4 linked regions of the Arabidopsis thaliana genome follow. The protein of the gene in region 2 interacts with the protein of the main gene of each other region in a pairwise test. Each region holds a gene or a part of one and is shown on either strand. Other genes may lie near its edges. The genes, in order: AT1G14990, AT1G15610, STE14A and AGP27.

Region 1 (8,031 bases), 200 kb from region 2:
GAAACTAGGAGAACAATGTAAAATACCTCCAGTAGACATGTTCACACATGGCTTCCATTCTACACCTTTATAGGAACGCTTCCAAATTGTTGATATCTTAAATGAATACAATTGCATTGACGATACATGACAAATGGGAACAAGAAAAGAACAGAGATCAATCTATGTTCAACATTGTTATACGTTCTCCTAGATATTATACTCTAATTGGATCAATCTATGTTCGACAATGGCCACATTCTCAAAACGATATCACAAGCGGGATAAAACGGAGGCAAACCTCACCGCATCAGCCGTGGTATTATCGGCTTCAATCTCGCCGCGAAGCCTAGCGTAAACCTGAGGGCTCCGGTAGACGGATCCCGGAGCAGGACGGCGGTGGATAATGGGAGAGGCATCAAACGACGCCGCGTGTAGGTGAAAAAGCATACAGGAGATGTAGATGATAGGAGCGAAAAGGAGAATTCCCTGACGCCGGAGAAGAACAGATAAAATGATCCATGAGAGACGGTGAGCGACGTTCCGACTTTGCTGTTGCCCGGAGACAGAGGAGGATTTCGACCGGCTCCGGCAGAGATGAGGAGATGTTGGCGGAGAAGGAGTAGTGTGATCGCTTCCCGGAAGCCGATTTTGAATCGACAGATCTCTCTCCACCTGGGAAATCATTGTTTCCCTGCTCTCTCTCTCTCTTCTCAATGCGCTACGCCATTAACGATATAATGCATTGCTTGTAACAATGGCAGGTGGCAAACGCCGATTGAACGGATTTATCCCGGCGGCGAAACTGTGAGTGAAGTAAGCAAAAGAGAGAGAAATTTTATTTATGTTATGTATGTATGCGCTCGTGCGGTGGAAGCATGATCGATTAATCACATGTACTTGAGTATTTATTTGGCTTTTCTTATGTGTTATAGTTCTTTAGTCTTTTTCTTTCTTCAATTCTTTGATTTCAGTTTCTATGGAAAACTATTGTTAAACGTGAGAATTCAATGCATCGGTTTCTACGTATGGTCTAATTTGTATTGGCAGAGAGACTTGTCCAAAAATAGCAATGAGTTTCATACACATTTTTCAGTTTTTGGTTAGAAAGATGAAATATTTTCAATCAACCAACCTATACTAAATTTGAAGGTGCGACAAGACAATATACTACAGTTGTCTTATCATCCAAACGAGTGGGTTAAACAACTGAAAATCCAAAATTAGTAGTTTTCCAACCATTGTGAAAAGGAAATCAAAAGACACAACTTTCAGAATGCATAGACATGGACCTACTTCTCGACCTGATTCAGTTGTCAATATGTGAAGAAGGAGATGCTATATAAAAAAAGCCATGCGGCCAAATGAGCTTATTTCTTTTGTTATAGCATGATCATGAATAAGCAAAGTCAACTAAGCTATCGTCTACATTGGCTATTGAAGTTGCTGCCTAAACGTAAACGAAAAGCATCCACAGATTACGGAAAAGCACAAAATGAGAAGATGCAACACTTGGGTTATCCATGTGATTGATGCCCATTTGTAAAAATTCAAAGACAGGTTCATAAAGGTAGATTCAATGATAAACGACAACAAAGTCCAACCACATCTTCAAGATAAACTAATTTATAAATGACTTCTCCTCATAACACAAACACCAACATGAACCCTCGTGGTTAAGTTGGCAAGCTTAGCCTTTTCAATCCTCGTGCAAAGTTCCCAAAACATCCTCGTCCCGGAAGAGATGGTACCTGCGTCCATCACACAAACACAAAAGTTACTCACTTTGAGTCAAATTCTTCTTCATTTGTAATTTCTTATTCGTTTCTAAAATCAACCCACCAATCAATATGTAAATCTGGTGTTCAAATTGGCATTATTAAACATTGATCAAAATGTTTTTAAATCCTCTGTTACAAAATTTTCAATATCTTCACAGTCTTACAAGTAATTCCCTTAGTTCCATCCATTAATCTAATTAATGGATAATGATTCCTGAACATGATTAGCTAAACATAAAGGTTCAATTAGATCAGATCAGAATTTTATCAGAATATTAGGGCAATAATAAGAAAGAAGCGGGTTTAACTTACTCGTTCTCGCCGAGCTTGACCTGTGTACCACCGTACTCTGGAAGAAGAACAGTGTCGCCTTCCTTCACAGAGACCGGAATCAATTTCCCGTCCTTATCCCTTGATCCAGGTCCAACAGCTATCACCTTGCCTGAGTTCAGCTGCAATCACCCAAAAATATGTTTATTTTTCAGATCTAAGAGGCGAAAATCAGAAGAATCAAATCGTGAAATCAAAGCTCTTTTACCTTGGAGGATTTCTCAGGTAGGAGAATGCCGCTTTCGGTTTTAGCGGGCTGGATGACTCTCTGCACCAAGATGCGGTTGAACGTTGGGATCAGACGCTTCATCATTTCTCAATTCTTCTTCTCTCTCAGTTGATGAATCGGAATTTTCTAGGGTTTCTGAGTTTTTAATTTGGGGCAGAGACACATAAGACGGAAGGTTCTAGATCGTAGGGTTTAGCGCGACAGAAAAAGGCCAAGGGTTTTGGGATTGTTTGGGCCTATAATATCATACTATTTCTTTAATGGGCCTCACTCATTAAAAAAAACCAGTCGCATTTGTGTTTGTCTAAATAAATTCTTGGAAGTGTTGTATGACCTTGCAGCTCAAATGGTTAGTTCCTTCCATGATTCTCTTTGCCAAGTTTTTCAAACTCCATGTACAATCCCATTTCATATACCACATCCAGAATGAGATGTTTATTTTCGGCAGATTTTTCGTGGAATGAAATCTTGACCTTTCTTTTATCAAACGTCTCTGCTGATGATGGAAAGCTTCTTGCTCTGTCAGTTTTCCCCATTTCTTTCAAGGTGGTAACCAAAGTTTTTCCCCGGATTGTTGCTTTGCTATGCTATATGTTTATTACATTGTGCCTCTGCGGGAATTACATGCTCTTAATTTTCAGAGTACAAATCTGAATAATCCATGTAAGCCAATGGTACGGTTCCGGACTTATACAAACACCATACAAATGTTCCAAGATACCAGGATTCGAATTTGCTATAACAAGATTAGGCACAAAGCTGAAACAAAGAGAGCTGGCGCCACTAGCCACTTCCATCGAGTTGGCCTTGAGATAGAAGGTGAGCCATGTATTGCTGCATTCACAATAAAATGAGCTCAATTCTTGGTTCTAACCCCACATGATTCGACAAACATTTCTATCAATGGCACCACAAAGTCAGTACCATCAAGATTCTAGACTTATGGAAACTGACCTTTACAACACTAAAATATCCGCACCACAGAGATTATCATAAAGAGATTGAAGAAACTTACGGAGTGGTAAACGTATGGAGATTTTCCCTGGCGATCAAAATGCTTAGCCATTATGCAGAATTCAACAGGACCCCAATCTTCAGATTCATAGCAATTCCCAAGCGCCGCTTTGTACAGCTTTACTCCAATAAACCCCAATCATCAGTTCCACACAGAACTAATCAACTATATAAACTGTAAACGACAACTCAAAATTGTCATCAAGGACAAACCTTAGCTGTGTCGGTCAAAAGTTCGGTGCCAGCAGGGTAAGATGCATAAAACTGATCTCCCCTGGAATATCCTGCTCTTGTTCTACACAACATTCGAATCAGTAACATTAAATCAAATTAAACCTGAAGCAGAAACCAAGAGAAGAACCCAGAAATTGAAATCATCTGCGAATTCCGATATTGAAAAGAAAGAACAACCAAAAGAAGCAAACTGAGATCGGACGAAAGACATTACGTGTTGTTTGTATAGAAGAATGTGAGGGCAGCAGTGAAGCAGTAGAATCCGGCGTAAGAGACAGCCCGTCGTAGCTTCTGGATCTTTATAACCTCTGAGCAAACATCCAAGATCATCATCTTCACACCTTCGGAAACTCTTTCAGGTATTATATCGAACACCTTGTGATCACTTTACCAAACAGAGATGACGAGTAGAAGAAGCATCTCACGAAATTTGCAATTGACAAATTGTAAACGCTTTGTATTGTCCAACTTTTTATGGGCCTATCTGACCTTTTTCTCTTTTCGGCCCAATAAAACTTTTAGATTTTATTTCTTTTGGCAACAATAAATTTAAAATAATATACATTATGGAAAATCATCTACAAACAAAAACCTTTAAATTAAAAAACTCACATGTTAATGCAATTAGGTTAGTAAGCAAGCACGTCTTGACAAAAATGTTATTGTTACACATTTAAAAATTCACATGTTATACAAGACAAAACATAAACGTAATGTTTTGCAGTCAAATAATGAAATAAATGAAATAATACAAAGGGATCTTTATGTAAAGGCGTCACCAATTAGTGGAAATAATGGAGCAAGCCACTACACTCTTCATATTGCTTTCCACTCTCCTCCTCGCCGTCTCCGTTGAGTCTCCTCAGCCACCGCTATTTCCCGATGAAGCTCTCCCCACTAAATCTGGCTACCTCCCGGTTAAACCCGCACCCGGCTCGTCCATGTTCTATGCCTTCTACGAAGCCCAAGAGCCAACCACACCTCTTCCTGACACTCCGCTCCTCGTTTGGCTCCAAGGTGGGCCAGGCTGCTCTTCAATGATTGGCAACTTTTACGAGCTCGGTCCCTGGCGTGTAGTTTCACGCGCCACAGACCTCGAGCGCAACCCCGGCGCATGGAACCGTCTATTCGGACTACTTTTTGTGGATAACCCAATAGGAGTCGGATTCAGCATCGCAGCCTCACAACAAGACATACCCACAAATCAGAGACAGGTCGCTGAGCATCTTTACGCCGCTCTCGTGGAGTTCCTTGAACAAAACCCAAGCTTCGAAAACCGACCGGTTTACTTCACTGGAGAGAGCTACGCCGGGAAGTACGTTCCAGCCATTGGATACTATATCCTTAAAGAGAAACCCAATGGGAAAGTGAATCTAAAGGGGCTAGCCATTGGAAACGGGCTGACCGACCCGGTGACCCAGGTTCAAACCCATGCGGTCAACGTCTACTACTCGGGTCTGGTCAACGCAAAACAGAGAGTTGAACTGCAAAAAGCGCAGGAGATATCTGTAGCTCTCGTGAAGTCCCAGAAATGGCGTGAAGCAGCAGACGCGAGGACCGAACTGTTGACGCTACTAAGTAACATGACAGGACTCGCGACGCTCTACAACACGGCACGGGCGATTCCATACAGAACAGACCTCGTGGTGGACCTCTTGAACCAGAGAGAAGCAAAACGTGTTTTGGGAGTGAGTGAAACGGTTCGTTTTGAGGAATGTAGTGATGAAGTAGAAGATGTGTTGCGGGCAGACGTGATGAAGAGCGTAAAGTTCATGGTGGAGTACGCATTGGAGAGGACTCAAGTCTTGCTGTATCAAGGTATGCTTGATCTAAGAGACGGCGTCGTTTCGACGGAGGAGTGGATGAAGACTATGAACTGGTCAGGATTGGGAATGTTCTCGACGGCGGAGAGGCGTGTGTGGAAGGATGAAGACGGTGTGGTCGCTGGTTATGTTCAGAGATGGGGGAATTTGTGCCACGTGGCGGTTACAGGAGCTGGTCATTTTGTTCCGACAGATAAAGCTGTGAATTCAAGGGATATGATTGAAGGTTGGGTTTTGGGGAAAGGATTGTTCGGTGGTAAAGATGTGAAGCAGACAACTTCGTCGAGCTTATACCATTCAATCTAAATATTGTGTACTTGTACTTAGTTCTGTAAGATTCAATTCAGATTCTAATTGTACTCTGGATTTAGATTTGTTACGTCATGTTCACAAGTTCATTTTAGTACGAATTGGTAACTTTTGCTACTTAGTTTATCATTTGCCTGTTCCTGAAGTCTTAAACTTTCTCAAAAAAGTTAGCATACAGTATACACTTAAGGATTGATTCAGATAAACTGTTTTGGTAAGAATAAGGAGATTTGAAGCATAAACTAAAGAATTTTTAAAAACATGTAATGGCGATTGGAGGCGGGATTGTGAATGAGATTCAAAGTGATTTGAGTATAAAAAATACACAAAACACAGAGAAAGCACAAAGAAACCCGTACTATGAAGCCATTTTGGTATTAGGGAAAGAAGAGCAAGGGCACCCCGTAGAAAACCTACAGGTATTTCAGAGCTATTTATCAAAATCTCTCCCCTGTTTTTTGCCTCTTTCCCGATTCAATTTTCTCGGAAAAACATTCGCGGAAAACAGAAAGAAAACTACTAATCATATGAAAATCAATCTTTCGCCTAATTGTTGAGAGAATGATATTCAGAACATCGAAAAATTGAAACAAAATTCATTGGAACCCTAATGACGGCTCCTGCTAAAACCTGTGAAACTCGCAACTTTATAGTGCGAAATTAGGAGAGTTAGGGCGGACGATAATCCTTTTAGTTGGGCCGAGAAAAAATTGGGTTCAGAGTTAGGTAACTATTAAGCCCATTGGGCTACTGTGTATAATCTATGTCCATCGTTTGACCTCACCATTGTTAGAACAAACAAAAAAAATAGACATCACTTCACCATTATTTCTTAAATTAATGTTAAGTATGAGAGTACCCCATGATTCCTTAATTAATCATATGGATTGATTCGTACGTTTTTTGGATGTAAACAAAGGAGAGGTCAATGTACATATAATTATTGGTTGATAAATTATGAGGATAGTACGTTAATGGGATTGACATTTAATGATATCTCCAATTTAACACCGATCCATCTTTTTCATCGGAGCTTCATGTTTGATGTTTTTTTATTTGGCCGTGTCGACAAATTTGTAAAAGACGTGTAAAGCTGAAATTGAGAAGAAACAAAAGTGAAATTGTAAGGAAACGTGATCGATGGTGACCCCATCAATATTACGATAAGGTAACGCGCTAAAGCAGCCTTAGCCGTTTTTATTAAATATTATCCAAATATAACTTATAAATAATCCCACCAATTGTGTCTCCTAAGCAACAGAAAATGGAAATGATACTGATCTCGTCATCGACACTCAGGTTCCATCCATTGAGGACATCACAAAGAATCGCCACCGGAACCAATAGAAGACGAACCACCACCGTGTGTGCAGACTACTACAGAGGAGGAAGAACGGTGGACGAGAACATGGTGGTCCTTAGGAAACGAATCCATGAGATGAAGATGGTTGAACGCAACTTTGAACCTCCTTCTCATTGGATGCAATGGGAGAAACGTTTCTACTGCAACTACGACGCTACTATATGTGATGCACTCACTCTTCTCCAAACTTTTCTCATGAACTCTCGTCCCAGCGTCGCGTTTGGAACGTGTCTTCTTCTCCTCGTCAGCGTTCCCGTCTCCTCCGCCGTTTTTGCTTTTCGCATCCTTGATCTAGCTCTTTGGCTTTTGGACGCCGTTCACGTAGTATGATCCGTAAATATCTTTGTTATTTTATCTAGAAACTATCTTTGTTATTTTATGTCGAAATTAAGGTAATTTTCCAAAACTAAAATGGAATTATTTATTATCAACAAATACCTTGAGAAATTCTATAATGATTTTGTTTAAAGAATCCTAATTTCATCTTTTTTGGAAAAATAAAAATAAAAAAAATCCGTACTTCATATGATTTAGGAAAAAAAAGTAATCAGTGTGAAGTAGTAGAAGAAAATCCTTGCTTCATATGACTAGAGATCCGTTGATTATTCGGAATACCGGAAAACTAGAGTCTCTCAGATCTGTTGATTTCTCAATACAAGAAACGAAAAAACGTGAAGAATTCGTTGATTCTCTGCGAATACCGAATCCTACGTCTTCTTATAATCGTTGAAATCTTTCAAGATCTACCGAAAAGAGAAGAGTATTCTAAAAACTCTTTAATTTAATTAATCAATTAACTGAATACAAAAGAATGTATAAACGGCTTATTTATAATAAAACCCAAAAATCAAAATAAACAGTAAAATAATCATATAATTATCTAAAATATAAATAATAAATAATATGGAGGATAATGATTGAAGATATTTGAAAATTATCCTAGTTACGCGCTGCAGTGTATATAAACTC
Region 2 (7,699 bases):
CGCCATCTTTGATGTTTTTGATTGAAAGTATTGGTGTTAATGTGTTTGAACTTTATTCTGTTGCCACTTTATATGTTCTCATGGGAACATAAACGATGGCGTTTGAGACAAGCTTGTTTAGCATTGATTTATCTTGTCGGCCCCATTCGAAGATCTTGTCGAAATTTTTATGTCATGTTTTTTCATTCCTTTGCCGCTTCGTGTTTAAATGTCGATAATATGGATCCGTTGGTTCGACACACTGGACGGCCACGATTTTGTTACCGACAAAGTAGGGTTTCTTTCTCAGCCGTTGGATCAGAAACACGTTACTTTCTATTAGACATCCCATGTTATGTGTGATTTGTTATGTCTGTATCCCATTCTTTTAATCAACGACATAATAATAAAACAACATATTCATGGTCGAATATATATTAGTGCACTTTAAAATCTACGTATATTTATGTTTCTCGACAACCGAACACGTGTTACTCAAGGCTAAGACAAGTTATTATATTATTTCATTTTTTTCTACACGTAACACACTACACAGTGCATACATAATTTCAAAGAAAAAAATGCATCTACGTTTTCGTCATATATCTTGTTTCTGCTATTCACACATGTGCCCGATACTTTCATTACATCATACGTAATCTACACATGTACACCATACTTTTGTCATTATTTGTTACGAAATAGAAACAGAACTGATCAAAATATCAATTACGGGATATATTTCCATTTTTCATAGATATTTCCATATCTTTGTATCTCCAATAGTACATTTTTGGAATGTTCACATGTTGATAGATAAGCTAGATTAGTCAAATTTCCTTGTACACAATTTCTAGTTTTCGATTGATCATGTAGAATTGCGTATAATATATTGTCGGCTGGCTTTAGCCAATGAATAACACAACAAGACTTTGTGATAATGGACAGCGAATCCCACAGTGATAATGATGATCACATAATCGACATTACAAACGATGAAGATTCTTCATCAAGATCGTCTTTGGACGAGAGAAGCTATCCTTCATTAAGTTCGTCTCTGTCTACGGATGACGAATCGTCAGATGAAGGTGCAAGTTCATCTACGAGAGACTGTGGTAGTCTTTGGAATATAATGGAATTAGTAGTCACTTTGGTTCAGATTGTTGCATCATTAATAGTTTTAACTCTGGCAAAAGATGAACATCAACAAGCACTTTTGTTAACATGGGTCATCGGTTACACTTGTGGCTGTATTACCATTACGCTCCTTATTCTCCTCTCGTGTGTCCGCAAATACAACCGAATTGGTGTTTACTCAAAAACGAGGTATAATAAACAACACTTGTTTCACTTAACATTAAGAGTTTAATTAGCTAAATCAAACCGAACCGTTGTTGGTGGCAGAACGGATAGGGTAATGGATGCTTTGAAGATGGGGAATGAATGTTTCTTTGTTGTGTGGTTAGTTATGGGGATTCTATGGATTTGTTATGGACACTCATCTTCTTCTGATACTCCTAAGCTCTACAGGTTTGACTCACAATCATGTCACAGTAGAGATTTAGTTAAACCCTAACTAATCAGTACTAACTTTTGTCTTCTTGATTATGTTTTGGCAGGTTATGTGTAGTCTTCATTGCTTTCAGTTGCATTAGATTTGCATATGCATTACTATTATGCGCAGGTATTTTTTTCGCTTAATGTTCACTAGAGTTTGGAACATTTTTTTCTCATATCTATGATGTGGATAAGTTGAAATCAAATGATGTAGATTCTGTAAGGGAAGGTATAGGAGGTAGATTTGTTTTCAAGAAACCGAGCCATGATGATGTGAGTAATAATTTCATATCACATTAATTACTCTGTTTTAAATAGCATTTTTTTGTTGTTGTTGTTGTTTAATTTTCATGGTTTGATGGTGTGTGCAGAGTTGTTGCATATGCTTGGGGAAATATGGAGAGGAAAAAGGAGTAGGACTAAGGAAACTTGAATGCTCACACGTATTTCATTCGCAATGTATAGACAAATGGCTGAAAATCAAATCCACATGCCCTCTCTGTCAATCACAAGTTAGGTGGTGATGAGATGAGGTTGATTTTTTTTTTATTTTTTTTTCGCTCAAGAGTAATTGTACACATTCAATAAACAAAAGTGGTGGGAAACTGAAAGATACGATCCTGTCTTCTTGTGTTGTCTGTCTTAAAACAGAAAATAAATATCATACAGATCATTTGACCTATTAACAATTTAACTTGTCCAAAACATCTGCAATATATATAAACATTGAAATCTCAGCTTTGATCTTCATTTTTCAAAATAATGTTTTATTTGTAACACGACTAATACGTACTTAGTATTGATCTGGTCTAAAAAAATACTAATAATTTTATCAACAAAGAAGGAAAGGTATATGCTTTGTGCTCGTCAACGCAAATTTGAATGAACTTTTCATTTGATCGGCAAGAAATAGGAAAAACCAAAAGTGATCAATGGAGGGCCCTTTGTTGAGCGAGTGTGAACACATCATTGACATTACAAGCGATGGTAGTTCTTCATCAATTGATGGTCAGCAACCACACGAGGGTGTTGAATTGGGTGATCCATACACAAATGAAAGCATTTGTAATTCAATCGAGTTTGTTGTGACTTTGGTCTTGATTGCTGCGGTCATAATCGTTCTGATTGAGCCAAGAGATGAAGAACATCCACAAACAATGTTGTCTATATGGATCATCGGTTATACATGTGGCTGTATTGCCACTCTCCCTATCCTATGTTGGCGTTTTTGGCTTTATAACCGAAGCGTTGGCTCCGAATCTACAGATGAATACTTAAGAGAGACAAGGTATATATAAATTGTGTTTTCTTTTATCTTTTTATGCATTAGATTGAGATATAATGGTTTTATTGGTTTGCAGAATCAACAAGGATATGGACTTTTTTATGACGGGTTTCTTCGTGGGTTGGTATGTGGTGTTTTTATGGATTCTTTCTTCCAAAGCATTCGACTCATCAGCTCTAGATGATACTACAACTCAATACTTCTGGTGCGTATCAAACGAAATTTCCAATCATATGTATACCTTAAAACGTATATATTGACCTTTCTTATACTCATGCCTTTGGCCTTCTTCATTGTCTCTTTTGCAGGTTATGTTTGGCTCTCCTTACTTTCAGTTGCATTAGATATGTTCTTTTTAATCTAACATTGGCAATGGTCTGTTATACTACTCCTTTGCTTTTACTTACGCCTGTGGTCATATGTGTTCTCCTTGCTGTGGAAGTCTTAAAAGGCATTGTAGCATGCATTGTATCATGCATCTGCTGAAATCGAACTAATAAAAATATTTTGTTTGTAAGCCTAGGAGAATGGGCGTTTAAAATCAAAGTAAAGCAGAGTACCAGAATAAAAATGTTTTGTGTTCATGTTGATGATTTTAATCTTATTAAGGTAGAGAAAAACAGTAGCTAAGGTTTTTTGAAATGATCAAATATGATCATCTCGTCTTATTTCCTCTTTTTATTTTATTTTTCTCCCTCGTTAATATTATTCTCCATTAAATGACAGTTTTGACTGACCATTCTTATTCGTGCGTTTTCGCTATTCAGATATGTATTTTAAGGGCCCGTACTTTAATGGGCTTTTTAAAATCTGACTTATTTCGAGTCGAGTCCTACCTCATTGTGACATTTACCCAAATAATCACGTGTTTCAGAATAACCTTTTATAGGCCTTATTATTTTGACAGATTTGGGTAAATCGAAATGGATATATAGATAACTTTAACACCAAAGATAAGATAACTAAGAAAAATAATAAAATATTATAGTTTCCCAAATAATAAAATTTAACACCAAAGATTTCTCCTTTTACAAAAAAGACATATTACTTCTTCTAGCTTCCCAAATAATACATCAAGCACCAAAGAATTAGGAAGACTATAATTTAGAACCAAATATTTTGAAATTTTACTCTAACGGGCTACAATTGACTAATAATTGGTCTTGGTGTAGGTAAAACAAAAACACACAAAACAAATGTAGCTCCGAAAGTCTACTCATTGTAAAGGACTTTATGTGATTGACTTAGAATTGGTATTGGTGTCGATTAGGTCTTAAGATAATAATATAGCTGGAAATGTCTATTATTCGTATTTAGAGAAGAATGACTAACTTTTTTTTTGTTCGTTAGAAGTTTACAATTGACTTATAGAATAGATCTTGACGTAGATTGGGTCTTAGAATAATAATTTAGCACCAAAGAATCGGAGAGGGCTTTATGTAATTTGTATTTCAACGCTTGTTTAGATGAACTATTAATTCGATTGGACAAAATAGAAGAAAGCAAAAAAGTGATCAATGGAGGGCCCTTTGTTAACCAAGAGTGAGCACAACGTCGAAGACGTTACAATCCATGGCGATTCTTCCTCAAATGATGAGCACATCATCGACATTACAATCAATGGCGGTTCGTCATCAGCTGATCATGAGCAAACTCCACATGAGGCATTTCAATGGAGTTGTCCATTTACAAGTGGAAGTTTCTGGATTTTGGTCGAGTTAGCTGTGACTTTGGTCCAGATTGTTGCAGCCATATTTTTTCTGATTCTAACAAAAGATGAACGAGATCCAGAACTAGATGTAGCTTTGTTTACATGGATCATCTTTTATACTTGTGCCTCTATTGCCACTTTGCCTTTTGTATGTTGCCGTTTATGGCAGTATATCCAAAACGCTAGCTCAGAGACAAGGTATAAACTGTGTTTCTTTTTCTTTTTCAGGCATTAGAGACTGATATCCTCAACAATGGTTTTTATTGATTTGCAGCAACGAGGTGATGGAGTACCGTTTGGAAAATTTTCTTGAATCTTTCTTCGTGTCCTTGATTGTGGTGTCTTTATGGCATATTCTAACCGAGTCATCATCACGTCAAGATACTAGTCGACACTTCTGGTGCGCATCTAACTAAATTTACAATTATGGCTAAACAACATAATTTACCTCTCTAGAACTAACAAATGTCCTTTTCCAGGTTATGGCTGGGTCTACTTGCTTTCAGTTGCATTCGATATGTGCTTCCTAATTTCCAATTTACCGTACAGTTATTCATGTTGCCTGGGGTGTCCCTTGTTACTGCACTTGTGGCCGCCATAGTAACGATGATTAATTCGTTACTCTCACTCTTTTTGGTCATCATTGGACTCTTTGCGTTAACCTTTTCGTGGATCATTGGAATGTGCGGATAAAAATGATGGATCATGTTGTTTTCTTCAACAATTGTTGTAATACTCTCTTTCTATTTATTAAATAAAGCCAAGTGTCATTAGCATTACCGAATCCTCTATTCCTGAAATGGCCGGCAAAACTGAAACTAAAGGCTTCTCTGTACCAATATCTCTGCAGCAAGATAAACATTTCAGTATCTGCATTTCAACATGTACAACTGGTTTGTCTATTGTAAAAGGCCTCTTTGGCCATCTTGATGAAGCGCTTCATGTTGAGACAGCATGTGGCACGCCCGACAATTCTTTTTAAGAGTGCACCCATAACATATATGTTCTTATGCTATCAAACAACCCACAAGGAACCTGAAGATGATAACTACTTGATAGAGATGATATGACTTCAATCAATCTCGATCGGGTTCGGTTAAGGGCACTAATAGATAACCTGCTATATGGGAGTGTGAAGACCATTAATTGGTTTTTCACATATATATGACTGAAGAAATCAGCCGTAACCAAATATTAGTGTTTTTGCATCAGTTGGGGCCTTGGGGGTCAATTATGGAGTGGAATAATACATGAAAACTTGAATGGTCGCATGCAGAGCAGAGGTAGCCTTTAAATTAAAGCACACATCAAAATGTAGTGCAATGTTGCGAACTTTTATTCAACTAAACAATTTAACACTCGATCTTTGTGCGCCAATACCTCTGCACAACAAACAATTTAATCTCATCAATATGATCCGATTTTGAAGAACCACCTTCTTCTTCAGTGACTTCTCTGGCTACCTTCCATTAACTGTCGCTGTCATAACGACGTGGAAGTTAACTTAATTGACTTTTAAAAGATTAATGATGCTGTATATTGGTCTTAAAATGGCACAAAAGGTTCCGTCTAGGCTTTGTGTTTCACTTTAAGTCTATAACTTAAAAAAAAAAAACTACTAATTTAGCACCAAATAATATCATAACCATTTTATTATAAATGACTATAATTAACGTAGAATTGGAATTGGTCAGTTGGTCTCGAGATAATAATTTAGCTCCAACGAATCGGACATATCTATGCTTTTATGTTTTTTTTTGGGTATAAGAATTTGTTATTAATTCTTATACCAAAATTATAGATATGATATTGTTTTATTTTAAAACAAAATAAATAATATATATATGAATGGTTTGATCTGATATTGGTTACGGTTAGGATACAAATTTTAATCCTGATACCATAGAGGTTTTATTAGTTCAATTTTCTTTCCGTTTGTTTATGCTCAACTTCAGATTCGTTGTCTTGCAATATTAAGATATGGTTCAATTATTGAGATATCATTTCAGTTACGTTCGCATCCGATTTGTTTAAGGTAATTGTAATGTTTTAATGATCACTTTTATTTGAATTCTGAAAATTGAAGTTTTAAAGATATTTTTTAAATAATCGATTTCAACAAAATAGAAAGAATTGTAATACATATTTTTTTTATCATAATATGAATTTTATATTTAATAGAAAGTTTCGATTATGCATTTAATTTCATACAATTGACTTTTCGACTGTTCATTTTTTTTAATTTTATTTTACAACGACTTTTAGACACTTCTTAGCACGAAAGAACTAAACGCAACATGTGCTTTGTAATTAAACGTCGAATGAATATGAATTATATTTGACCTAGGATTACGAATGATGTCGATCTGGAGTAATAATTTAGAACCGAACGACGACTTCGAAATATTACAATTGACTTATAGAATAGATCTCGACGTAGATTGGTCTTAAAATAATAATTAAGCACCAAAGAACTGGAGATGGCTTTATGTGCTCTGTGTTTTAAAGCGGATTAATAAGGACTTTTAATTCGATTGGGGAAAATAGAAGAAAGCAGAAGTGATAAATGGAGGACCCTTTGTTGACTCAGAGTGAGCACATCGTCGATGACGTTACAATCCATGGCGATTCTTCTTCAAATGAAGAGCACATCGTCGACGTTACAACCAATGGCAATCCTTCATCAGCTGATGAGAAAAGACCGCATGAGGGTGTCCAATGGAGTGATATATTTACATTTACCACTGTTTGTATTTTGGTCGAGTTTGTTGTGGCTTTAGTCCAGATTGTTGCCGCCATTGTTGTTCTGACTCTGGCAAAAGATGAACAACCTCCACAAAAAATGTTTCCTACACTGATCCTCAGTTATACCGGTTGCTGTATTGCCACACTCCCTATTCTAGGTTTGCGTTTCTGGCATTCTTACCGAAGTGTTAGCACAGAGACAAGGTATAAACTATAATTTGTATGTTAATTATTTGTTTTAAAGGCATTAGAAACCGAAACCGATATAGTGGTTTTATTGATTTGCAGAATCTACGAGGTGGTGGACATTTTGAAAAAGATGCTTGAATATTTCTTCGTGGGTTGGGTTGTGGTGCTTTTATGGCATCTTATCAACAACTCATCATCTATAGATAATACTACGCAACAGTTCTGGTGCGCAT
Region 3 (7,958 bases), on a different chromosome or scaffold from region 2:
TACATACCTCACATCTCCTGCAGCTAGAGCATGACGGACTCGTGTGGATGAGACTTGACCTCTTTCTTTCGACTTTGAGTCCTCCTCCTCTGTGTTTACAGAGACTTGGTTCTTATCCATCACGGAGTTAATGATGTAAGCGCTGATACCAAAGTCTTTGCATAACCTCACAAGTTCAGAGGCGTCACCAGAAGCCCGGTATCCAAACCTGTAATTTTCGCCTAAAGGAAAAGAACTTAGAATGAGAATTTTCGGAGAAAGAAGGGAACCTTTGAGATGTTCTTTTGGAATTCACCTGCCACAACTCCGCAGACTCTAAGCTCTCTTGACAACTTCTCGACAAACTGTTGTGGGTTAAGGTGTCGAACGCTGGCAAATTCAATCTCAAACTCTACCGGTGCTATGTTACCACAATACGATGCCCAAGAGGAAAGCACTCGTTTTCTGTCGCATTTGGCTACTATTGGTGCTCTGTTCAATAGAAGTGAGAAGCACATACAGATTAAAAAAAAAAAACTTTATCAGTAGAGTCATGATCTAATGATTATAAGTAACTTAGATCAAGGGGATGTTAAGTTAATTGGGAAGGTAGACGGAGAAATTACCTAGGCTTCCAACCAAGTACTTCAGCCAATCCAACAAACGACAGTAGATACGGAGTACCAATTCTTGCAGCTTGAATTGCAAGCTCTCGATGACCGATATGCAGGGCATCAAACTTCCCTAGAGCAACAATGCCTCCTGCAAATTCAAAACAAATTCATAATCCAGAAAGGTCATATAAAGGTTGGCCACTGATGGAAGGCAGTTGAAACTTGAATGACAAACAGATACCTGCAACTGGGGAAAGCCCTTCAGCTGAAAGCTCAGGATGATCATCTCCCTGGCTTTGAAAGAAGAATTACAGCCAAATATTTTAGTAAAGACTCCAATTTTGAAAATTTGAGTAGAACATAGTGAAGAACATCTAACAGAAATCTCTATCTTAAAGCTCATCAGGAAATTTCACATAAAACAATCAGATTCGGATACAAAAACAATCAAAACAACAGCGAGATTCAAAAACCTGAAACAATCGAGAGGAGCTGGGATTTTTCTTGGAGTTTTACAGTGAGACCTAAACGACGACTTTATCCGCTGCTGCGATATAGCCGAACAAGGTCTGAGCATGAACGAAGATTTCCGCAAAACCTTAGCACCGAGCCTAGGAGGATGACGATGGTCCCACAAATGCACGGAGGCGCGAGAGCCTCCGCATAACATGGTTACCGACTCCACTGCTCAAACCCCTAAAAAGACCAAACTTGTTCTCCGAAACTCTTCGCCGGAGCTATGCATCACCGGTGACAGGTGTCACATAAACAATTAACGCTGTGGTAAATTTCATATCCACGTCAAGACCTTCTCTTTCAGCCAGAGGGTCTTGTATGTTTTTGTGACTTTAAGACCTCAAGTCAAGTACATCAAACTCATATGTTCAAAAATAATTCAAGTGTCAGTTCACAAATGGAACACCAGAGGCAACACTCTCTGCATACTCTAGATACTGTACCCCAAAAAACTGATTCAGAAAATACTCCTCGTACGGTATTCTCTGAGCAAAAAACCGCCACACGACAACCGCGAACGCAACTGCTGAAACGGGGTTACAGAGCATAACTTGTGTCCCGACCGACCAGATGAGAAAACCGCAGTAACTTGGATGCCTCATTAGTCTATACACACCATGAGTCACAAGCCCGTGATGCTCTTCGTAGTTGATCTTTATGAGGTGAGTGAACGATCTTCCCGCTGTTATTATCGCTGCCTTCCTGATGATTTCCCCAACGATGATCATTATGAGTCCAAAGTTGCTGACCCACCAGTGTTGTTTCAGCCCCGGGAAGAGGATAATCTCCGTTAGGTATTCGAGAAGCGACAGAAGCATTGCTAAAGCGTAATGCTTGGTGATTAAAAGCGAACTAAGAGTTACGTTTGATGCTCCGTGAATGGTGATGGCTAGAATGTATTCGGATATGTGGAAGAAGATTAGTGATAGTAGCATTTGAGATAACTGTCTGATGCTGGTGTCACTGAAGATCTCTGTCATTTTTATCAATCAAGAAAGATTATAAGAGGTTTTCTTTCCTGTTTGATCAAAGCTTATGATAATTTGTTTCAAGAACTACAACAGACCTGAGAATGAGACGGAGGCATAGTGTATCAGTAATGGAAGCTGGTTTTTGACAACAAATCTCAGGGGATCCAAGAACTGCATAACCTCCTACAAAGGATAAAGAACGAGGAAATTCAAGTAAACGTTAACTCGCTATATACTCGATTTTATGAATCTTAACAATGAATTAGTTTTGGCATCAAGGAAACATATGATCTTGATCCAAATAAATCTTGTAATCTCTGAGTTATACTAGTATCAGTTTGACCATTTAGCAACCATACAAATGTAATATGAGGACTAACACTACAGTCTTTATGGCACTGAATCTGCCAAAACCCAGGTCCTACATGAACATTGAGATTTTACAGAAAACCCACCAACCAACACAACAATCGCATTGCAAGTTTCATACAAGGATAAATTTCACGAACACAAAGCTTGAAATTGCTTATCTTTAAGAAAATTTTCCCTTTTTACTCACGCAGTTATGGGCACGACTCCTAATCAATTGTAGAAAATTCATAGACGAGGAAATGAACAGAACCTCAAGAGCCCAATCGAAATCGAGAGTTTCCGCGAGAGCGAGTTGGGAAAATCAGGGAATTACCCGATGCTGAGGGAGTTCCACAGAGACGATCGCGTGAAACTTTGACGTTAAGGAGGAAGAAAGTTTATACCTTTACGTTGAAGTGAACGATGGTGTCAATCCCTATTGTCAGGAGACGAAGAAGAAGAAGAAGAAGAAGAAAAGAAAGAAGAGGAAACGGATACTCTCAGTCACGTGCGGGTCACGTGAGCCAGCCTTCGTTTTATTATAACTTAATAAGGGTTAATTGCGTCACTAACATTACTGTCACCATACAGGGCTCACTGATGATCTTAAAGCTAGAGAGTCTCTCAAAAGGCAAAAGAAGAGAAAACTGTCGCTAAATTACACAGAACAAAAAGATGGGTCACATTCAGAAAGCAACTCTTGTTTTGTTGGTTGGGACTTGGGACTTGAGACCTCTGTTTGCAAAAATGAGACTGCCCAAGTTTCCAAGGAGTTGTGTTTAGCTTAAGCGATTGGGATGTTGGGTTCACCAAGATTCACAAACGCTTCTGCACGGGCCATCCGACTCATGGCAGCGTTCCACGACACCAAGTGGTTCAGAAATGTGTTTATATACTTAGCCCTGTCGTTCTAGCAACCGGAGAAAGAAAGAAACAAACACTGATTTAGCCTTTTGAACGAACAAAAAGAACACAGAATGGTCGGAATTTAAGCTAGGTTTTTACCTTGTAGTCCAGATAATAAGAGTGCTGCAAAGTAAGATAAGAAAACGAAAGATATTAGAAAATGTTTCAAAGTGTTTCTTGGAAGAATGACAGAAGAGAGGAGATGGTGTACCTCCCACACATCCACGCAGATGATTGGCTGTAACAACAAAAGAGATGTGATCAAGAGGTAACATTAAGTTCAACAAGAAAACTAACTAATAAAACTCTAACATACAATATCGTCCCACACGAGTGGGTTAATGGCGTTTGAGGTTTTGACCACCTCAAGCCTTCTCTCTTCCCTCTTTACTGAAATTTTCCAGAAAAAAACAAAAAGAGAATCAAAATTTTCCATTTTCAAAGTCATTCTACAGTTTAATACCAAGTGAAAAGCTAGTCAAGTTTCTCACAGACAAGCCAGACCCATCCAGAACCAAACTGAGTAAGAGCTGCATTAGTGAACTTTTCTCTAAAATTTGTGAAAGAACCAAAATCCTTATCAATCTGCTCAAGAACACCCTTTTGAGGCGTGTCTCCACCACCAGGTTGCATCGACTCCCAGAAGAAATCATGGTTATAGACCTAAACAACAACATAATCATCATCAATCCTTCCAACATTAGTGTGTGCCTCGGGTGATAATGTACAAGTTACTTAGAATATAAAGTACCTGTGCAGCGTTGTTGAACTCGGGTAAAGGATTCCCGTTGTTGTATGTAGCCTTGATAAGCTCTTCCATGGTGTATCCATAGAGTCTATCATCTTTCCCTAACTGTTTATTCAGATTATCTACATAACCTCGATGGTGTTTTCCCCAATGCACTTCTAGTGTTCTTCTACTCATATACGGCTCCAAAGCATCCTATTCACATTTGTTTTTAACTCTAATTAGAATCTCAACTATACCATCTTCTTTGACATATCACCAAGGCCCTAAAGATCAAGACACATCTACTTTGCAAGATAGAAGATACACAGATCAAGACACAATCTTTCCTATACTCACAAGACAATTCACCCAAATTAACAAACTTTCTACAGTTCCGTGCTTAGTCGAGAACAGAATTGGATTACAGAAGCAAGACATAGTTACTACACTTAGAATCCAAATACAAATACCAAAGTCTTATTTGCACTTACAAGTGGATAAGGAGGTGTCTTTAGACCGTAGTAAGCTTCAACCTTTAAACCACCTCGAGACCTAAGAGAGCGTCTTCTCTGCTGGTTACTCTATAAGGAAACGAAATTTGAAAGCTTTAGTGCTTAAAAGAGATAGATTCATGTGAAACAGAACCACAGCAATTTCCATGTCACACAAAGAAACGAACCAGATTGAGGAGCTTGGGGGATTTCAAACGTATACTAGAATCTGAAATTGTATAGAAACAGCTTGTCGTCACAACACAAGAACTCATAGTTCCTCCCACTGTTGTCGTCAAAGTCTCACTTCTGCTTCGAAAGACAGAGAGCTACTTCGCACTCTTGGTCTCGCTTTTTCAGAGAAAGGGCCTTCCTTATCAATCTCTTTTCAAACCGGTTAACATATAAGATTTTACCCCGGTTAACTACATTAAACCGGTAAATCGAACCGGAAAGATCAACCTGAAGGAAGCAAGGGTTTTAGCAAATACTCTGACGATCCTTTGTAACCGAACAACAAACAAAAAGCGTATATTTTTCTCTCTATCAAGATTCAAGCCGTGAGCTAGAAGGCTAAAACCCTCTTCTTATAGATTTCAAAGCAACCATTTTCGAACTCTGTTTGATTCCACTGTCGATTTAATCATCTTACCTAATGGCCGGAAGGGCTGCGACGTCGTCGGCGAAATGGGCGAGAGAGTTTTTGTTCAGAAGGGTTTCGTCTAATCCTCTTGGAGCTACCCGTAACTGTTCTTCGGTTCCTGGAGCTTCTTCTGCACCGAAAGTCCCTCATTTTTCCAAGAGAGTGAGTAGCTTTGATGAATTTATTGATAAATTAATCTCATTTTTGGTTTATTCGAATCATATTGGAATCTTATTCCTTAAGATAAGGAGTTGCAACTCTTGTTTTGATCTGAATATGGCACATTAATTGGTGTAGTAGAGTTAGATCATTGATGCTATTTCATTTTACAAGAGCAAAGTGTTTGACTTTGAAAATTTATAGGGAAGGATATTGACAGGAGCTACCATTGGTCTGGCCATAGCTGGAGGAGCTTATGTTAGTACTGCAGATGAAGCAACCTTCTGGTACTTTACTTAATAAGTGCCCTGAAACTTAGTCTTTTTGTTCTCTTTGTTAGTTGACATTGCTAAGGCTACCTTGTAGTTACTTTGAGGAAGTCACTTTGTTTTTTACCTCTTACCTATTTTGTGTGTTGGACAGTGGGTGGCTATTCAACGCAACAAAGGTTGTGAATCCTTTCTTTGCTCTTCTGGATGCTGAGTTTGCGCATAAGCTGGCTGTTTCAGCTGCAGCTCGCGGGTGGGTACCTAGAGAAAAGAGGCCTGATCCAGCAATCTTGGGACTTGAAGTTTGGGGAAGGAAATTCTCAAACCCAATTGGGCTTGCTGCTGGATTTGACAAAAACGCTGAGGCTACTGAGGGACTGCTAGGGATGGGATTTGGCTTTGTTGAGGTAGGCTCTGTAACTCCTGTTCCACAAGAAGGCAATCCGAAACCACGTATCTTCAGACTAAGCCAAGAAGGGTGAGAATCTCTAATCTATAAAAGACCTTCAATGATTGAAGAAGCAAGATAGTTTAAACTAAAAGACTTATATTTTGGTCCTCCCAGAGCTATTATCAATAGGTGTGGATTTAATAGCGAAGGGATTGTTGTCGTTGCAAAGCGGTTGGGTGCTCAACATGGTAAAAGAATGTTGGCTGAAACATCAGCTACTTCGTCATCTCCAAGTGATGATGTAAAACCAGGGGGAAAATCTGGACCTGGTATTCTTGGGGTCAACCTTGGAAAGAACAAGACGAGTGAGGATGCTGCTGCTGACTATGTCCAAGGAGTTCATAACTTATCCCAGTATGCTGATTACTTGGTACAAACTTCTTACCATGATATATCGAACATGAATTTGATCTAATCCACCGTAGAATTCTTTGTTCCTAATTTTCATTTTTCTCTTCAGGTGATCAATGTTTCATCACCCAATACTGCAGGACTGCGCATGCTTCAAGGAAGGAAACAGTTGAAGGACCTTGTAAAGAAGGTTCAAGCTGCTCGGGATGAGATGCAATGGGGTGATGAAGGTCCTCCTCCTCTTCTTGTGAAGATTGCTCCTGATCTGTCCAGAGGAGAGCTTGAAGATATTGCAGCGGTACGTAGTACTAAAAAAGCTAAAACACATTCTATAGTTTTCAAGTAATTGGTTCTTACAACATTGTATTGGTTTGTGTAGGTGGCTCTTGCTCTGCACTTGGATGGGCTGGTAAGTTATCCTCTTATGAACTAACTTATGTTACATCAGTGTCAATCAATGAAGCCTCCAGTCTGTTTAACGTAGTGTAGTAAAAGCGATTAAAGTGTTAGAATAGTCTCTTTTTTCGATTGTACGTATGGTATGTTGCAAATCATAAAAGCTTTCGATGATGATGATGATACTGTCTTTGTTGGTCCTATAGATCATATCAAATACAACAGTCTCAAGGCCTGATGCTGTAAGCAACAACCCCGTGGCAACAGAAACAGGTGGTTTGAGCGGGAAACCGCTCTTTGCTCTCTCCACCAACATGTTGAGAGATATGTACACTTTGACACGAGTAAGTTCTTATCCTAAAAAAAAGATGATCCACTAATCGACCAATGAACTAAAACCTTTTCTGATGGGTTTTTGGATATTTTCATGTTCTCTTCCTTAGGGAAAGATTCCATTGATAGGCTGTGGCGGGGTTAGTAGGTAAACGTCGAACATACCTCTGATGCTTTAGTTGTAAGAACAAAAGAAACACAAGAAAATGATTTAAGGTGAATCTTTTGTGTTTTTAGTGGTGAGGATGCTTACAAGAAAATAAGAGCTGGAGCTACTCTTGTTCAGCTGTACACGGGATTTGCCTATGGAGGACCTGCCCTCATCCCACAAATAAAGGTATCTCCTTCCCCATAAAGAACACAAAAACATACATATGCTGTATTTTGAGGTCAGATTGATACTAATATTCATGTCTTGTTGTTGCAATAGGAGGAACTGGTGAAATGCTTAGAAAGGGATGGCTTCAAGTCGATCCATGAAGCAATTGGTGCTGATCACAGATGATAAAACTCAAAGAGCAATACGCTGCGGAAAGATCCCTTTTCTTAAAACAACAAAACAAGTTGTATTTAAAGTTCATTGATTCAGTTGTCTCTTTCTACCCCCAACAATAACATCATCGTTTTTGCCTCCAATAACATCATCGCTTTTGTCTCTTTTCTCACGTTTTATGAGAAATAACTAGTTAACACGTCTTTTCTTTCTCATAGTCACTACTGATTACTTAAAATTACAGCACAAATTCTTCTAGCACACTAAACACAAGCCGATTGAGATCAAAAGAGTCAAAACATAAC
Region 4 (7,265 bases), on a different chromosome or scaffold from region 2:
ATCAAAGTCTTCATCCAAAACTAATACCAAATTTATTTGAAGCGATAAATCTGCAAATTCATCATTACCTATCCTTCTCCAATAAAAACGGAACAGAAAACAACAAAAGAAAACTGAACTAAAGGAAGAATCACTAACATAGACATTGCTAGGTTCCATGCTTCGCCGGCGCCTTTGATCGGAAAATACCACCGGAAACGGTACACTCCTTAGCCGCGGGGACGAAGAATCGGCAAAGAAGCGAGTGGAGAAATCGGCGGCTGGAAAACGGAGATTGGCGACGGAGGTAGGTGAAAGTCGGGGTTTGGAGAGTAGACGAGGAGGGTTGGTGAGACGAGCATTAGTTGAAGAAGCTGCCATTGAGAGGCGACAAACAACAACGACCCTTTGCGGCTTTTTTTCACAACTTTTATTGGATTTCTAAATTTTGGTATTTTTAACGTTTTTATACGCTAAAAAATGGTAGGTGAAGTTTCGATTAGGCGCAAAAAAAAATTATTTATATCTCCTTTTCATTTTCTGATATTGACAATTATATATGTTTGTTTAAATCATCAAGAGAAAATTCGTTATCTGTAATCTGAAGTTAAGAATTATAGCAGAACAAATGACATCAACAATATGTGATTTTGTTCACACAAAAAAGAAAGTCAAACAAATAGAGGTCAGCAAGTTCTTGAGTCTTTAACTACACTGGTGGCCATTGTTGGGCATGCAATGTAGAAAACTCAGCACGTTTTGCACTACAATAGTGGGCTGCGTTTTTTGGGCCCATAGGAAGCCTCTTTAGTGGGCTCGAATTGCATAGCAAACTAAAGAACAATAAATAATAAATAATAATAATAATTCCCACACACCACAAAGCTTTTCTTAACTCGCCAATAAACTTTAGTACAAAAGACAACAAAATATTTGTTTAGGAACAACCCAATATAAAATGTGCTTTTTATTTGAACATCCAACGAGGCAACAACAAACGTAATTAGACCATCTCCATTGAAGGTATTTCATAAGAGTTTTTCACAATTAAAAAAATAAAAATAATGAAAATGAAGGAGAGAAAATGTAGAAAGTTTCTCACTTGAAAAATTTTGAGATATTCTCTACAACCCATCATGACAATTCTCATCTCACTATTGATTCAATTTTTTAACAAAATTACTTTTTTAATCAAATAATTAAATTATAATATAATATTAATATTTTTTTTGTTTTAGAAACTTTGTAGGTTTCTCATGGATGGAGATGCCTTTACTCGTACTTAGCAATATGTATAATTTGCATTAACATAATATTTTTCAGCAAAAAGTAAAGCACATGTTTATTCGAAAATATGTGCAATATATAAGAGCTTCTACTAAAAAGTGAAAACTCGATCTACGCCCATCTTCAAGAATTCAGCAAATATATTTTCTTTTCCACCGAACACATCCTTTAAATTGATAAATAATAATCTTTTTGGAAAAAGGTGAGACAAATTCCATTTAAAATCAATTTATAATATTTTACTATTAGAGCTAAAAGTTTTCTTTTATAGAGACAGTATCATTATTACAACACAAAATGCGCTCTCATCAGTTAAGGAAAAAAACAACTCAGCTTTGATTTGTTCATCATTACAGTAACCAAAAAAGATGGCTTCATCTATATTGCTAACACTCATCACCTTCATCTTTCTCTCCTCACTTTCTCTCTCTTCGCCGACGACAAATACAATCCCATCTTCGCAAACAATCTCTCCCTCTGAAGAAAAGATCTCACCGGAGATCGCTCCTCTCCTCCCTTCACCCGCCGTCTCCTCCACTCAAACCATCCCTTCTTCTTCAACACTTCCTGAACCAGAAAACGACGACGTTTCCGCAGATCCTGATCCCGCCTTCGCTCCATCGGCTTCTCCTCCGGCTTCATCTCTTGCTTCTCTGTCTTCTCAAGCTCCCGGAGTTTTCATCTACTTTGTCTTCGCCGCCGTCTATTGTTTCTCGCTCCGGCTTCTTGCCGTTTCAGCTATATAGGTCATTCATATATTTTAGACCACGTACGTCATTATTTTCATGAGTTTATTTGTCCCCTAAAAATAACGAATAAAATTAGATTTAGTTTGATTTTCAATTTTTTTTTACTATTTGTATTTTTTATTGTTCTCCACTTAACATTTTGTTACAGTTTTAGATTGGTTTAGATGAAAAACGCAAGTAATATATTACGTCAGAACCACATAATTGATGCATAATTAACTTAAGAACTCTGGATAAAAATAAAAATAAAAACTAATTTACCGTTAAGTGATTCAATACACTTTGAGGACTTATACTTTTCTCTTCTTTTCATTTCATTTGTTCGTTTACTATACACTAACTTTTTTTTTTTTTTTTATCGCTAAGCTAAAGAACCTTTTGAAAAAGTTGAAATTACGTTTCAAATTAAAGTGACGTCATATGCATGCTTTACAGTATACTGCAGTTTATAGTAGTATCAAAATCAAACGTTCCAAAAATTTGTACTGTTTACATGCAAATAACACTTGAGTAATTATATGTAGACTACTAATTAATTTCGACATAAGTTTATGTAAAACACCAGTTTTTTATGATTATTTTTGTCTTAATCTTGAGACGTGTTTATGAACTGAATGAATGTATTACTTTGTGAATTAACGTATTTAAGTATAGTGCATTATTGCATAATTCCTAAAATGCCACAAGGTTAGAGGCGCATGCATGTGAGTTACTGCATATGCTGGCCTCACGGCTAAAAGCAACAACAAAAAAAGGTGCCTTCTTTTCTTGTCCCACACTTTATCTTATTTCTGGGGTTTCAAAGTCTCAATATTAAAATTAATAATATCTAGGTGAGAAGAAATATGTAAAGGACGTTTCTTGTTTTCACATTATAGGGTTTTATGCGTGAAAGATTGTATATGTTACTATAAGGTTGATTGATACCCACTCACTTTGTCCTTATATACGTGCAAGCATAAAAATAAGATTAGATTTCTCAAAAGTTATATTTATATATAAGTTATCAGTTTATTTGTATATTGTCAACAAGTTTCTTGCAAAACCCAGTAATAAATTATGAACATTAGAAAGATTCGTGTCCCTTTGTTTTGTATAAGAAGTACAAGAAAGTGTACACAAACTTTAGATTAAAAAATCTGCTCACGTCCCACCAACGCAAACTCGAATCTCCAAACGCAGACGCTAACGTCTGCATATGAGCTAGGTGTACTCAAGTCACCCCTATATCAGTCCCTATTTACATGGACAGTTACAATTTTTCAACAAAACCACAAACTCAAACAACGAAAAACGGACCGGCTTTACAAAATCACACCACAAACCAAAAAATCACACCGGGCAAATAAGAACTCACATCCAAAACCATTATACCAAAACTGGAGGCAAAAAATTAGAGCCGGCCCATGTTGCGTCTGCGTCCAACAACGCCAAAAAACGCGATCAACAAGTCAAAGATCTTACTCATGTCATTATGGTCATCAAGGTTCGCCGTTTTGTTCCTTGTTTTCTACTTCTTCACTCCATTGCGGAACACTATTCTCAATGGGTGAACCTGGAACTACTGGTGAAACGCCTCGGCCACCAAATATGCGACGCATAACTGCGTTATCGAATTTCCTCCAGTAATGATGAATGGCCCTGGACGGAGATTTCCAGAACATTCTGAAGCTAACATGTTGTTCAGGGTCGTATTCTGACTGGCCTTGGGTACTGAGCAACGGCTCATGGAGGATCGGATCGTGGAAAGAAGATCTTAGTGTGATCTGCAGCGCGGTCGTGGAGGACTGTTTTGATGAAGGCTGCAAATGTTTGACTAACGGTTTGGTTAGCAATCCAAACACCTGCAAAAAAGGTTAGAGATTAGGTTACGTGTTGGATAGGCTAAACCCGATTTGACTTCAGTAGGAAGCAAACCGGTTTGAACAAAGTGTTGAAACGTACCACAGTACTGAAAAGAACAACAGTGATGGTACTGGTGATCATGATAGCGTTCCCAAGAACCTTGGTGTGTCCTGAAGTTGTGAACTATGATGTAACAGAGAGAAGAGATTAAGTCATGGGAACTTATTAAAACCCAAAGATCACTTTTTTATCTTTGTTTCTTGTAGTTCACGGATCAAAACCTGGTTATAAGCAAGAGCCATTGACACTGCACCACGCATCAGACCAGCCCACCAAATGGTTACTTGTTTCTTTAAGTCTATTTTCTCATCCGGTGAAGACTTTGTTAAATTGGACAAGAAGGAAAGTGGAAACACGAACGCGGCGCGACCCAGAAGAATAAGCCCAAGAAGTATTGAACTAACTCCAATCGACTGACCAGGACTGCCAAAATTGTTAAACAATATTATGAAAATGAAACAAAAGATATTGATGTATTATCACACTCTAAGTCTCACCTGTTGCGTACAACGTCCCATTTCTCGATATCGAGAGCGTCCATTCCAACGTAAAGGAAGATAAAAATCTCAGCTAGAAATGACATTGCAGCAAAAGTATGTCTACGCCAAGAAAACGTATACAGTTTAGTCAATCAAGCACAACAAATTAGTAGAGTTATTTTCTAATTATTGGGAGAAGAAAAAGAAACTTACTTTGTAGTGACCTTGGATTTATCTGTAACATTGTGCCATGTATAGTGAGACATAACAATCCCGCAGAAGAACACAGTCAAGATAGAGCTCAAGTGGAATAGCTGCAAAGGATATATGTATCATGTTTTCATTTTCTGTTGGAAAAAATGTAACCAAAACGTTTCAAATTTTTCTTATTACCTCTGCCAACATATATGATAAGTAAGCCAATAGCATCATAAGTGCAACTTCACGATCAGTAGAGTGCCTGATGTTACAAAACAAAACAAAAACAAAGCAAAAGGATTATTAAAGAAAGGGTAAAATCACATTTTTAACCATCAGTAGATACGAATATACCTTCCTATATAGAGCTTCTTGATAACAAAAGCACTGAGCAATCCAGCCTAAAAGAAAACGAGTGAGAATTTTTCGGGTTTAGAAATTTGAGGAGCGGAGAGAAAGAAACTTACTGCAACACCAAGTGCTGTGCTTAAGATAAAGAGGTAAAAAAAGTTTCCAGCAAACTCCAAAGCTATGGCTGAATTGATATTTGTGAGGTCGAATCTCTGTATTGCATTGAAGAGCACGACCGATGTGGCATCGTTCACTACACCTTCTCCAAAGACAAGACTGTACAAGAGAGGTGTCTCGTCTTGATTAAGCACCTAGATTTAACAAAGCGTGCAAGTTAATTTTTGATTAGAAAATGTAGTAGAATAATATCTTTGAATGTTTCAGAAAAAAAGTTCTTACTTGCAAGGTGCAAACAGAGTCTGTAGCAGAGAATATTGCTCCAATGGCTGCAAAATCATCAGTACAGATTTAAACAGTATGAGACTTAATGAATAAGAACTTGAAAAGGGTTTTCTTTGTTTCAGGGTACCTAGATAGTCCGCAATGGTAAGATCACCGATATTCATTTTCTCGAAAAGATGTTTAGCACCTAGCCATAACAAAAACAAAACCGGAAACATCATCAAAATATATGAGACTCATGATATTGAAATGTGGGAGTTGATTGAGATTGGTTTTTTACCAAATGAGATGATAACAAATGAAATGAGAGTTCCAATAGCACCAAATAACATAATGGTCATGAAGTTGCGAAAAAATTGCTTCTTCTTAACCTGAAACCTGTAACAAAAAAATGTGTTACTCAATTCCGACTTTCAATTTTTCATGAAATTCTATATAAAAAGAACTTACCCTGCGTTGAATATAATTGGTGGAAGAAGATAAATAAAGAAGAGATCTTCACTAAACACAAGAATCCTTGAGCTTTTGCCTCCACTTATAAGCAAGATCACAATCCCAGTACACGAACCCTATTTTTGCGTAATCCAAATTTAGAATGTTTCTAAGCAATGTGTTTAAAGATTTGGGGAAACAAAAAAAACGAAGCTTACAATGATAAGAGCAGTGATTGACTCGTTCATCCACCGAGTCTCCTCAAGCAAGTGACCAAGCACGATGCAAGCACAAAGCAAAGCTACGAACAAATTCATGGAGACGACCGATGCATGATCAGAAGCGAAAAGAGCCTCTGTTTTTTCCAGCATTGTGCTTAATCCGATCACCATTTCCAAATCTCAGCTTTAAGAGTATATTTCCTATATATATGTAAAAAAACACGAAGCGTGATTTGTGGAATTTAGATTTCTGATTGAATTAGTATCTAAAATTGTATAGTTTCCTTCTTTAGCCGCCGAGAAAAATTCAAATCACTAAAATTCCTAAATAGGGGAATAATAAAACATTCCAAAATCATAATGTTCCAGAAGAATCAAAACCCTGGAAAATTCCAAGAAAATTTGAAAATTCCTTTAGAGTTTGTGTCAGGAAACATGTAATTTATCAATCTTCATCAACAAGAGCTCAATTTATCACCTCCATGAACAGTAAAAGGATCTAAATTAAAAAGCATCCACAGAAATGTTTTTAAGAAAAAATCGATAAAGCATTCAAACACATATTACCTGGCAGAGTTATGACGAGATTCGAAAGATCGAATGATTCAGTTTGGTCGTAGAGAGGGATGTAACAGTTCTGTTGAAGGGACAGCAAAGAGACGATCGAAGACGAGAGACCGCCAAAGATGGCGTAAATATATAAATAAAGATTTTTTTTGCAGAGAAGCCAAGTGGAATAGAGAGAGGTCAACGGCTTTTAAATCTCATATTAGCTAATCTCCATCGTCTATTTATCCATCTCAAGAACTTTATTCCAATTAAACGGTTGAGATGATTTTGTTACACCGTTGTTATGACCGTAAGTGGAATTAGCTCATTGGTTATCATGTTGTCGTGTAAAAGGAGTATCAAAAAACAACAGAGGGGAACACGCTTTTATTTTTCTTATGACCAAATGTAAATGATCTTAGGATTATTCTCTTTTTAGGAATAAAACTGAATAATATACTGTTTGTACTGTATTCTTTTTATGGCACCGTATTACATAATAGCCAAATACTTCCTTAACAGAACTAAATTACGTACTTTGAATGATAACCAGTTTCATAAACTGACCCCAAAATATTTATTTGAATTATATTAATTGTGATAGATGGGGGTTGTTCTTTCTTATGTCATTCGACGTTTACTTGATAATTAAATATAAGTTGGTCATTTTTTAATAAGGTTTCCACGAATCTCTGATGAAAAATAAATACCAA

Evidence for each region.
Region 1: the proteins of AT1G15610 (region 2) and AT1G14990 interact in a protein complementation assay, tested with the Arabidopsis thaliana proteins (one large-scale study listed by BioGRID).
Region 3: the proteins of AT1G15610 (region 2) and STE14A interact in a protein complementation assay, tested with the Arabidopsis thaliana proteins (one large-scale study listed by BioGRID).
Region 4: the proteins of AT1G15610 (region 2) and AGP27 interact in a protein complementation assay, tested with the Arabidopsis thaliana proteins (one large-scale study listed by BioGRID).

What each region holds. Positions count from the first base shown.
Region 1 is NC_003070.9:5,164,252-5,172,282, forward strand, and holds AT1G14990 (uncharacterized protein), read right to left. Parts: upstream 4,014-8,031; 5' UTR 3,901-4,013; coding exon 3,782-3,900; intron 3,629-3,781; coding exon 3,547-3,628; intron 3,452-3,546; coding exon 3,335-3,451; intron 3,274-3,334; coding exon 3,244-3,273; intron 3,154-3,243; coding exon 3,103-3,153; 3' UTR 2,780-3,102; downstream 1-2,779. Other genes in the region: AT1G14970 (O-fucosyltransferase family protein), read right to left, coding at 27-96, 286-666; CPN10 (chaperonin 10), read right to left, coding at 1,679-1,730, 2,073-2,212, 2,299-2,403; scpl50 (serine carboxypeptidase-like 50), read left to right, coding at 4,362-5,696; AT1G15010 (mediator of RNA polymerase II transcription subunit), read left to right, coding at 6,964-7,392.
Region 2 is NC_003070.9:5,366,455-5,374,153, forward strand, and holds AT1G15610 (uncharacterized protein), read left to right. Parts: upstream 1-4,302; 5' UTR 4,303-4,338; coding exon 4,339-4,730; intron 4,731-4,806; coding exon 4,807-4,932; intron 4,933-5,011; coding exon 5,012-5,225; downstream 5,226-7,699. Other genes in the region: IAA5 (indole-3-acetic acid inducible 5), read right to left, coding at 1-6; AT1G15590 (E3 ubiquitin-protein ligase), read left to right, coding at 920-1,305, 1,384-1,509, 1,751-1,778; AT1G15600 (uncharacterized protein), read left to right, coding at 2,469-2,824, 2,898-3,026, 3,130-3,307; AT1G15620 (uncharacterized protein), read left to right, coding at 7,099-7,481, 7,566-7,691.
Region 3 is NC_003076.8:7,847,499-7,855,456, reverse strand, and holds STE14A (S-isoprenylcysteine O-methyltransferase), read right to left. Parts: upstream 2,873-7,958; 5' UTR 2,703-2,872; intron 2,264-2,702; 5' UTR 2,258-2,263; coding exon 2,176-2,257; intron 2,090-2,175; coding exon of another isoform or gene 2,083-2,089; coding exon 1,496-2,082; downstream 1-1,495. Other genes in the region: AT5G23330 (Nucleotidylyl transferase superfamily protein), read right to left, coding at 1-221, 296-471, 606-741, 835-887, 1,067-1,263; FSD3 (Fe superoxide dismutase 3), read right to left, coding at 3,216-3,341, 3,437-3,460, 3,549-3,575, 3,654-3,727, 3,829-4,000, 4,089-4,280, 4,559-4,648, 4,747-4,833; PYRD (pyrimidine d), read left to right, coding at 5,214-5,363, 5,565-5,647, 5,784-6,107, 6,195-6,450, 6,541-6,729, 6,811-6,840, 7,034-7,171, 7,271-7,308 and 2 more. UniProt on the Arabidopsis thaliana protein: Catalyzes the post-translational methylation of isoprenylated C-terminal cysteine residues, resulting in the modulation of the function of prenylated proteins. Involved in negative regulation of abscisic acid signaling.
Region 4 is NC_003074.8:1,927,342-1,934,606, forward strand, and holds AGP27 (arabinogalactan protein 27), read left to right. Parts: upstream 1-1,526; 5' UTR 1,527-1,634; coding exon 1,635-2,012; 3' UTR 2,013-2,343; downstream 2,344-7,265. Other genes in the region: MEE32 (dehydroquinate dehydratase, putative / shikimate dehydrogenase), read right to left, coding at 139-360; NHX4 (sodium hydrogen exchanger 4), read right to left, coding at 3,497-3,859, 3,960-4,043, 4,142-4,343, 4,418-4,519, 4,613-4,713, 4,793-4,859, 4,952-4,998, 5,065-5,259 and 5 more. UniProt on the Arabidopsis thaliana protein: Proteoglycan that seems to be implicated in diverse developmental roles such as differentiation, cell-cell recognition, embryogenesis and programmed cell death.